Drosophila melanogaster: one gene and its partner. The protein of the gene in region 1 purifies or fractionates together with the protein of each later gene. This does not show direct contact. Each region holds a gene or a part of one and is shown on either strand. Other genes may lie near its edges.

Region 1 (4,989 bases):
GTCACCTATAAGAGGCTACTTAAAATTTGTTTATATAAATTGGACTTATGTTTAGCAATTGCTTCGTTGAACTATTTTCTATTGTATATTTGTCCTAAGTAGTGCCCCAGTAGAACACACTACCACACACATTCAGTACACACAAGTATGTAGTATTTTCGTTTTGAACGTGTAACCAAATTGTCCTTGTGCAGCTCTAATGAACAAAATTATTCTGTTTTTTCTCCTCTCCCTGAAAATCCAAAAACGCTTTACCGCTCCGCAGGCCACATGGAAACTATTTTAGCCAAATTTAGGCACTATCGCACTACCGAATTCAACCAACTGCTAACAAATTCAGCAAGATAAACCAAATCGAACCAAGTCTAATACAAAAAAAAAAAAAGTCAAAATTTTATTAACCCCACAACTAAGCCAATTTGAGACATCTTGTACCCCAAAGCCAATGCATTCAGCGTTAATGTGATGCCCAGAAAAATCGGTATAATCAAATCGAGGTTGAATTATTCCGCTGCTTAACCCAAACAAAATATGTTACCCCGGCTAAATGTCCATTGTGTGTTCATTCGATGTCCAAGTGTGATAATTCAGGTAATACAAACTCCAAATATTTTTTAGCTTCATTTATCCCCAGGTTCGATTGATAAGATTCTAATCCAGTTTTATCTTATATTCCACAGATTTTCTTGCCGGCCCTATCCAATGTTTTTGCACTCTGAATCTTTCTTTTAAACTCCCTACTGAAAGCTGTATATTTTCTTTTATTTTACTTAATTTCCAAAATACCCTAAGGCAACAGTTCATGAACAACAAGAATAACACACTTTGAGCTCTTCAAAAGCCAAGCAAGTTCCACAAGTAGTCAATCAAAGCGATATTAAATTGTAAATTTTCCAAAAGATTTGTAATATTGAAAAGTTGATTCAAACAAAATGTATTATTCTGTTCGAATATTTATTAGTAAAGGAAAAAGTAAAAAAGACACTGTAACTATTATGTTTTGGATTCGGGCGGTTAAGGCTATGGAATTTGCACTATATTTTAAAATGATCCAGAAGCGAATTTGATATTTTGCCTTATATTTTGAAATTTGTTGATGACTTGGGTCCAAATACCTCTTGTACACTTCCTACTCAAAGTATTCTATATACTTTCATCACCATAGGCACGTTTGTCCCACTTGCACACTTAATAAGAAGGCACAGGATCCACTTCGGTCAGTTTTATCAGAATTACTTCTTTGTTTATTAAACCTTAAAAAAGAGCGACAAATCCAGTAACCACAAGTAGCGAATGGGCAGCTTAGAAACGCAGCTTCTGGAAGAACCACTTGTTCTTGCCCTCCTTGTAGACGGACTCGAACTTGACGCGGGTCTGGAAGCGGTGCGTCTTGCGCTTTACGGGATCCTTCAGGTCCTTGGGCGACAGCTTCTCAAAGCTGATGTCGTGCGCCGTGTAGCGGGTGGGCATCAGATGATTGTAGTTCAGGCTCTTCAGGAAGGGCTTGACCTTGGACTTCTTCTTCAGCTTGTTCTTGCCCATCTTCTTGGTCACCTTGCGCGGGTAGCGATCGATACCGGCGACGAGGGCGTGTCCGAAGGGCTTCTCCGGGGTTCCATCGTCGTGGGTCTTGACGATGATGGCCTTGCGACCGGCGTAACGTCCGCTAAGGACGATTACGATCTTGCCCTGCTTCATGATTTTCCTCATCTTGGCGGTTTGCTCTGTAAATTAAGGGAAAAACGTTAGTAAAATCGTCAGATCTCAAAACATTATTTAATAACTATTTGGCGGCAGAGTTTATAACATCATCTGCAAGTAAACCAAAATAGGTTTTTAAAGCAACACGTTTTTGGTCATTGTGTGCTTGGTATTGTAGTATTAGTTTGCCGGATGTCTTGAATTCACTTATTATCTGTTAACACACATAATATATTCAAACTGGCATACACAAATCATATGCAACTCAGAAGTCATAGTCGGCTAAACCATGTGGTAAGTTATAACCAGATATTGTTTTTTTCATAGAAGAGATGGGAGGCAGAGCCACCATAGAATCTTTTTTTTCTGCTCTACGGGACTAAAACCGTATTTTTCCTCCTTTTAAAATCATTATCCATTTTGAGGGGGCATAGCCTGTACATTGCACGCCACTCGCATTCCTACCGCAGCGTAGAAATTTATATTTTGGCTAAAATTTAACAAAATTTACACGCGGAACACACCACTCACCGGAAACGGGCGAAAAGAAAAGAAGGGGAGATTTTAGAGATGGCAAAACGTCGTCTTTTTATCGATACTTAGTGGCAACATTTCCGGTATTTTTGAGGCGGTCACTCTACCATATGGCTGTGTTTCCTACTATCTGGTCACACTGGCACAAGTATTTTTTTTTATCACAATTTTAAATTTTCCCTTTGTAAATTCATAACATCATATAATTGTGGAAAAACACTTAAAATTTATTAACAAAATAGATTTTTTTAAATTTAATATGTTAATCATTTAGAAAACATGGTACATACTAATCATTGCTTAAGGAGAGATACTACTCCTTCATAGTACTCAGATATTTAGCGGAAATGCCCGGCCCTACGTCTTTTTTTGGATAATCTTAAAGGTATTATGCCGATTCATGACGTAGCTGAGGGCAGTGGCAGCCGTAGTCAGGCCAGTCAGATACCAAAGTCCCTGCAAAGCTGGGTGATCTGGAATGGGATGATACAGAATTGATTAATCCATCAGTAGTGATAAAAGTGTTTGCTGTATCTCACCCAAATAGTTCCAAATGGGAGCTCCCAGGCTCAGTCCAATGGTGGCCAACTGGACGCCCGTGTTGATCTTGCTGAGCAGCGTGGGCTCCAGTTGGGCAGTAACATGGGTGGCGTCGAAGTAGCGCGAAAAGGTTTTCTGCCGAGGAAAGGTAAATGATTATAAACAAATGCCACAAAAATGTAGGTAAATCCTTCACTTACCGGCGGTGGCAGACTTATGTAGCGTATAACAAATCCAGCTCCTAGAAGAAAGACATCCCGGAACACCACGATGCCCATGAGCCACATGGGCAGCAGGTCCGTGTAGCACAGCGAGATGACCAGCGAGCCCATCAGCAACTTATCAGCCATGGGGTCCAGGAAGGAACCGAACTTGCTCGCCTGCGAAGGCCACCGTCGTGCGATCTGTCCATCCAACTAAAGAAACAGGAAAAAACAAATGTCATTACCAAGAAAGTTTCAATGTTTCAAATTTATCTAAGTATCTTACAGGAATTAAACGTGTGTGTGTTATTTAGATACACGAACTATTTTTGGTTTCGTCTGGGCAATTCGGGTAAAAAATTCAAGAGTATGTATAGATATTTTGGTTCTAAAAAGTACTATAAATGTAGAGGAAAACAAAACACAGACCGGGCAGAAAACAAGACAATAAATAATGCATTAGATCACACCACATCATGTTTTCAGCATTTCTTAAATACTAGAGGATCTATTCCGTTGAAAATGGTGGTCCTGGGAAACTCACCAGATCTGTGATGCCGGCGAACGCTAGAAGGCTCATGCCCAGGGTGAAATCGCCCTGGACTATAACATATCCGATGTAGGGTGAGAGGACGGCACGACTGATGGTCAGCATGTTGGGTATGGTCATAATGTTCTCTCGCTCTTCGCGTATCTCGTCGATCTTCTCGCGCACCCGCTCCTGGACTTTGTGCCTGGCCTCCCGGATGTCATCCACCAGGAAGTTCTTCCTTTCGATGACACCCTGCAGGAGATGGCGTCCCTGCAAGGTGCGCAAATGGAGCGACTGCTTCTTCTCATCGGCATAGAGGCGAAGTCTGGCTAACTCGTAGTTCCTGCGCCGCTTAATGTCCAGAAACGAGATCCGAATGAATCCCGTGGCGGCCGCATAGCGATTCAGGCAGTTCACGAAGCTGCTTCCGCCGACTCCCAAAACGTGCTCCAATGTGGCGGCTCCATGGTGCAGTGGGCGCTGCACCTGCCGGAAAATGATGGCGGGCAGCATAGGTTAATTGACGTTCGATCCCTGTCTCAAGTCCAGACTCTTTCGCGAGCACTGTAATCACACAAAATGCCCAATCAGTTTCAATTTATTGAGATTCGTAACCTTGGTTCCAAATTGATCGACCACCGACCCTTGGCCATCTGTTATCACCAGCTCAAACACGCACCATTGGTCGGAAATCCTTGTTCACTGATGGCACCTGAGTGCAGTACGAAATCTGAATTCTTATTCGATTACAAGTTACTGCCCTGCATTTACGGAAATTTTTAATTCAATTTTTGTTTTTATTACACAAGCCGTCTCCGATAACACTGTTGATACGGCGACAGCACTATCGATTTCAGCGATTGCAATAGACAAAATGTGCCAAAATATGCTAACTAAATATACCAAAACTACCAAACCAACATAGAGCGGTTTTTTTGAAATGCTTACCTTATATAAGAAAGTGTATACTATTCAATTGTGATTGCAAAATGAAATGACGTTTCTTTTATTCAAATGTTTATAAAATTATATGCAATACTGAGGTCATAGGAATGAGAGATAAAAAACTTATAATTCAAAAGTAATTGTGCGTCAATGAGATTTATCGCCAACATAAAACACAAAGGACCCTATATTCTATTGTATATGAGTTTCTCGGACGAGAAAAACTTTATAGTTAACATATCCTGTTTATGCTGGATAGTTCTTAATAATGGAAAATACGAAACTTTTTCTTGTTTAAGTTTTGATTGGAATAGCTTGTCAAAATAGCTTAGGTGCACGGTAAGTCTTTTCGAAATTTCTTGTATTATAATTTAAATTATCATCTTTAAAGGACAAACCAGGTAGAGATAAGAGCGACATCAGAAACGAACATGCAGAGCTTTTTTGGTCGGAACTGGCATTCAAGCTAACTGAAGAGCTGATCCCCAAACGAATTCCTAATTTCTTGTAAATGTGAATAACTTTTAGTCAAAA
Region 2 (5,761 bases), 560 kb from region 1:
AAAAAGGAAATCTACGACGGCGATAACGACAGCGAATGGAAGGAGAACAAGGAGTCCATCAGGCCTAGTAAGATCTTATGAGTAGCCAGCATGACATGTATTCTTATTATTTGTACACTTGTAAATATAATTAACAATCGAGCGTTTACGATTTTATTGGCTTCTCTCTCATCTGTGCATGTACATTGTAGAGAAATCGAAAAGTGGCTTCAACTACGCCGCTTGTCCCTGCAAAGTTGAGGAGTCACATGACGTCCCGCGAACTCTGGTGCAAATTAGAGTTAATGACGCTGAGTTAACCAAGCGTTTAGAATGTTTTGTCAACAGAAAACGAGACGAAATAAACTCACAAAATGTAATTGACTTCAAATCGTCTTTTGTCAGCTCAGACCAAAACTTGAGCGATTCCTGCGCTCGAACGCAGAGCACAATTATTAAGCAGGAGCAGTCAAATTGCCATTTAAAAGGTGGGTAAACGATGCTCTATTTTCATAACTATAGCCACTTTGGTCTACAAACAACCTATCACAGTCCGACGAGTAAACAACCGATGCGGACCTCAGCAAATGGAAATGCGACCCAACTACGAACTCGAACTGAATAAACTAATGGGATCGCGTGACGGTCAAACGGATCCAACCAAAGAAATGAGGAAATCGCTACCCAATTCACGACTACAGGCAATTGAATCGTACATGGGTCTAACCACCGACAACGAGGAAAACATTTTCAGTAGAATCAAACGAGTGGAAAATAGACTGCTGCAACTGGAGTCCATTTCGCCCGAGTACAGACACTTCGTAGGTTCTTAAAACATTTCCTGTAATTGCAGTTCTAAAAAAATTCAATCTATTCTCAGACCAAACGTGAACCGTCATCTATGGAAGCCGCGCCGCCGAAGAAGAGCCGAAAGAAATCGTATTCGGCGCAAGAATTAAGTGCATTCATTCAAAAGATTAAGGATGGCAGCGAATTAAGCTAATAAAAACCTAATTAATTATTATTCCTTGGTTTGTAATTGATGTAAATTTATTTCAACATTCCAACTATTTGTAATAGTTTTTTTTATGCGTAAATGATGAGAGTGAAAAATGCAAAAATTTTTGTTTACAACTAAGGAATATGGATAAGCGTGGCTGATTTGTTTCTGTTTATTAATCGGTCGTCAAGCTTCATAGATCGCGCCCGAAAATCTAATGGTTATTTGTTAACCGAAGGACCAGCTTACTAATTATTTAATACGCGAAATTATTAAATCTTATTGTTGTTCTCAACTCCTAGCACAGAGTGGGGAATTGAGCTTCATCGTCAACCTTCAGTGGCTTCTGGGCGGAGCGGCGTTTCTCTCCGAATCTGTTGTTGTCTTGTCTGTTTTCATAGCCGTTGCTGGGTCCGTTGTTAAAGCGGGGACCACGGAATCCCTCTCCACGCGGTCCGTCATTGCGGTAGCCTTCTCCACGCGGTCCCTCATTGCGTGGACCCTCTCCGCGAGGTCCGTCGTTGCGATAACCACCTTCTCCGCGAGGTCCGTCATTGCGATAGCCACCTTCTCCGCGAGGTCCGTCATTGCGGAAGCCACCCTCGCGAGGACCGGCTCCGGGGCGAGGTCCCTTGCGGAATCCGACCTTGCGTCCATCATTGAAGTTGAACTGGATGTCCACGATGCGCTGAAGGCGGCCCACGCGCTGAGGATACAGCGATGGATCATACTCCAACTCGTCTTCGCTGTTGCTCTCCTTCTTCTTGCTCAGCACGATCATCTTCTTCCACTCGGCATTGTCGGCGGCTCCCTCGCCCGCTTTGCGCAAATTGTAGTTGGGCTTGGCACGCTGGTCTCTCAAAGCCTTCCACTCGTCAAGGGTCATCTGCTTGGACTCATCCTCTTCGGCGGCGACCGCGGGATCAGCCGACTGTTCGTTGGCCGAGTCCTCCTTTTCCGCCTGCGGTGAGGTCTCCCCGGTCGTCTTTAAGTCCTCAATGTCCTGCTTCGGGGAGCCCCAGTTGTGGGCACCACCGCCTTCGCGCTTGTCAATTGACTTGACGCCTGTGGAGAATAAATCAGCTATTAATAGGCTTCAATCGATATGAGTAAAGAGGATTTTCGGGAAAATGTTTGCCGTATAAGACAAATTAAAAGTTTAACCAAACGAATTTTATATTTTCGGTAACGAATTAATAAATTAATAAATTATAAGATCAAAAATCAAAAAAATCAAACAAAAAAATGTCCAAGAAAACACATGTGTGAACACACGAGTTTGCAACGCAGTAATTTCATTATTTCATCATTTAAAATTAATATTTACAAACACGTTTTCAAACGTTTTGCGTATTACAAATGCCTAAAAGTCACGTGAGAAATACGCGATATGTAATCAATCTTGTTGCCAAGGGTTGCGTTTTCTCTATATTTTGCAGCATGCCGCCATTACAGGGCAGCATTTTCCACGCAGAAAAAACGGATTCACTTGAGAAGCAAACACGAAAACCAAGGACAGAAGAATCTAGACATAATTACCAGTTCTATCGGATCCCGACTGGCGATCGAACTCGCGCTTTCCGAACTTCTCGCCGGTACGGACGCGTGGTGGTCCCCTGTTGTCACGATTGTTGAATTGACGCTGCGGCAACTCGTTTCCGAATTCTCCGTTCGACTCCTTATTTCCGTAGCGTTGGTTGTTGTTGAACCTGCCCTGGTTGTTGGCACCGTTTGCTGTTGGGTTCTTGGGACGACCCACATCCCCGCCAGCGGGACCCTTGCCGCCTTTCACTGGACTAGCGTTTTTAGCCACCGGAGCGTTGGCCTTGCGGGCAGCCACAACCGGCTTGTTCTCCTTCTCCGACTTGCTCTTTGGTGCCTTTGGCGCCTTTGCCGGTTCCGGCTTCTTGGGCGCCGCGACTACAGCGGCAATCTGTGGCTGTGCGAGCCCAGAGGAGTCATCGTCGTCCATGAACAACAGCTCGTAGCGGTTATTTCCAGAATTGTCCATGATGTAAAATTTCTACGGATTAAAATTGAACCAGATTTGAGAGTTACTTTGGTCCCAATGGCGACGATATGCTTTGCTGTTAACTTATAGGCACATGGCCGGCCTAGAGTTCAAACAAAGTGATAATCGCTTAAAATTGCGAAAACGCGGAGCAACTTACGCACCACGCCGGAAACGAAAGTGAAGGTAGAAACATCGATTGCAGGAAACATAAGGGCCACGATATGTTTCTCCGCTAATTGCATTTCGACAATCGATAGTTGCCGGTTCAATATCAGTATATATCTGTAAAAATTAAAATATATAATTTATATTTTCTGAACAATGGTTGGTTTTTGAAAAGGGATTTGATAATTTACAGCCTTAAATAAACCATATATGTATATTTACAATAATTTAGGAAAAGTTATACCTTAAAAATGTATAACAAATTTAAACTATTTTGAAGGTGTTGCAATTTTATTAATATAACCAAATATTATTATAAATGTTTAACCGATAGATACCAAATGGTGAGTAACGAGCAACTGTACAGAATAATGGTAATTATCGATTGTTTTGAAATAACGTAAAATGTGAATGGTAATTATTGATTTCCATATTTATAATAATTCACTCTATATCAAAAAATTTCACATTATATTTAAATTTCCATTTCATAAATAATACCGAAATGTACTCAATCGATTAATCGATTGCAGGTAGAGGTCACTACCAGCTCTAGCAGTCGGCCCATCGCCAGAAGGAGAACAACTTTTGGGCCCGTAGAGACAAATGTGACATTTGTTTCTTTGATGCGTTGCCATCGAAATTCTCTGTCCTCTTCGGCCTGATGCAAGTAATAAATTTAAGTAAAGGCAAATTATCCTTGTAATTGAAAGCGAGTCCATCGTGAATTGTGGCCATTGCGTACCGAACCGCGAGAGAGCAGACGAGCGAAGCAGCGACTGTCATCGAATTGGAATATTGGAAGCGACGAAGAGGAGAGGGATATCGAGCACCCAATAGCCCCCATCCACATTTACGTCCAACGGGCCCCCAAGTATTTGCAAGTGGTTAGAGGGCCGCGTTTGCGTTTCGCCGGTGAGTCCTCAAATAAGATACAATCCACACATATCCATTTCGATAATATTCATAAGTTATTCATAAGGCTAAGTCTAAGTGTGTGTGTTTCAGTTGGTTTCCCCATTTCCTCATGTGAACGCGGGACATGCATAAACAAAAAAATCAATATCTTCGCCTGCTATATGCAGTTCTTGTGAATTTCGTTTGTTTGTTTTTTTTTTTTTTGGAGCTTGGGGATTTTACTGTTCTCTAAATGGATTTTACCTTGACCTCTTCAGCTGCGCAAAACTGGCTTTGGCAGGCATGTTTTTGAAAGTTTTTAAGTGAGAAAACCAATTTGCTTTAAAAACTTGCCAAAAATATCGTGATGTCATTTACGGACTTTTTTGTTCTACCTTTTTTGGAGCTGTGTCGCGCAGAAATCGACAATATTATCATATTCGGTCAGGCAATGCGGCTCCTATTGCTTTTATGCATATGTCGACTTTTGGTTTTTATCCGAGTTTTCCAGGGGTGGTTCTACCCCTTCTCATAGATAACGTCTGGCCTAACTGTTACTTTTGCACCCTCAGTAGGTATGTTCCTTATATGGTAGCGTATCACAAATGGAAACAAGTGATGTGAAACATTTCATACACTTGGTAGAAATGTAGCATGGATCTTGGATTTCCGGCTGTAAAAGAAGGATACATTCACATAAAACCTTCTACTCAGCAAAAAAAGGGGCTTGTTCTGCAAAAAAAGCAGTTGACTAATCTCAGGCATCAGCAAGAATTATGCCCTTTGGACAGGTACTTTTTAAAGAATGTGTATTTAATTACAAATACAAAGCTGATTTACTATATATGAGTAATTTAACATCATTATCGATTTCAACTTTTTATGAAAGTGGAGTCAAGATGCGAGTTTACCATATCGAATGAATTTTAAAAAGCATCTATTTGCTGATCTAAAAAAGAAAATATTAACTTTTTAATATGCGACATTTATATTTTTGTTTTACCCGCATAGTATGCTAAATTCAAGCAAAGGCAACAGAAACCCTGCTTTTTGACTACATAACGCTTCAATTAAGTTCAATGCTTTTCATAACCGAGTTAAGGAGCTGACATTGTATTTCAATAAGTTCCACTAGTTATGGCATAGTCCTCTTTTGCTGGGTCATAATTTTAGCGCATGTAGTCATATAATTGTATTGCCGAAAGAAATAGACGTCATGAAAGGCCAGGACTGTATAATTCCTATAAATGTAATCGCATATTCCTAAATTTTTACCGACTTTTCTAATTTGAACTGTATGCCGTAGTCTAAGAAATTTAGTATTTACTGATTTCGTAGATCAATAGAAAATCAGCTTAATAGAGTAAGACTAACTTTTTGTTATTACTGCTTAAATTCTATATAAAAAACATTTTTTCCTTCAATTTTATAGCATCTCAATATCTGAAATCAAAAGAAAAATCAAATTTGTATCAAAACCGAAAGAAAAATTAACTTTCTCCGAGCCACATGAAAACTGTTTAATGTTTAAAGGTATTACAACCACAAAATGAATACCAAAAACATTGAAAACAAACCCATGGATGGGACCAAATTTCTTGATATGTTGTCAAAAATATCATTGGAGGAAATATTACAACTTGAATTCCGTAACAATCCAACTAGCAAATGGGAAACATTGGTAACCCCCTCATACCCGCTTCGGA

What was found. The genes of interacting proteins can lie anywhere in the genome.
Region 2: the proteins of RpL27 (region 1) and vig2 fractionate together in Drosophila melanogaster (co-fractionation; one study listed by BioGRID). This does not show direct contact.

Annotation. Positions count from the first base shown.
Region 1 is NT_033777.3:25,682,793-25,687,781, forward strand, and holds RpL27 (ribosomal protein L27), read right to left. Parts: upstream 2,260-4,989; 5' UTR 2,167-2,259; intron 1,725-2,166; 5' UTR 1,711-1,724; coding exon 1,303-1,710; 3' UTR 831-1,302; downstream 1-830. Other genes in the region: Idh3g (isocitrate dehydrogenase (NAD(+)) 3 non-catalytic subunit gamma), read left to right, coding at 266-296; CLS (cardiolipin synthase), read right to left, coding at 2,593-2,708, 2,775-2,910, 2,976-3,191, 3,523-4,023.
Region 2 is NT_033777.3:25,120,873-25,126,633, reverse strand, and holds vig2 (vig2), read right to left. Parts: upstream 3,262-5,761; 5' UTR 3,236-3,261; coding exon 3,155-3,235; exon of another isoform or gene 3,003-3,154; coding exon 2,519-3,002; intron 2,045-2,518; coding exon 1,278-2,044; 3' UTR 1,136-1,277; downstream 1-1,135. Other genes in the region: Mocs2B (molybdenum cofactor synthesis 2B), read left to right, coding at 1-67, 192-467, 532-800, 860-982; CG31510 (uncharacterized protein), read left to right, coding at 5,605-5,761.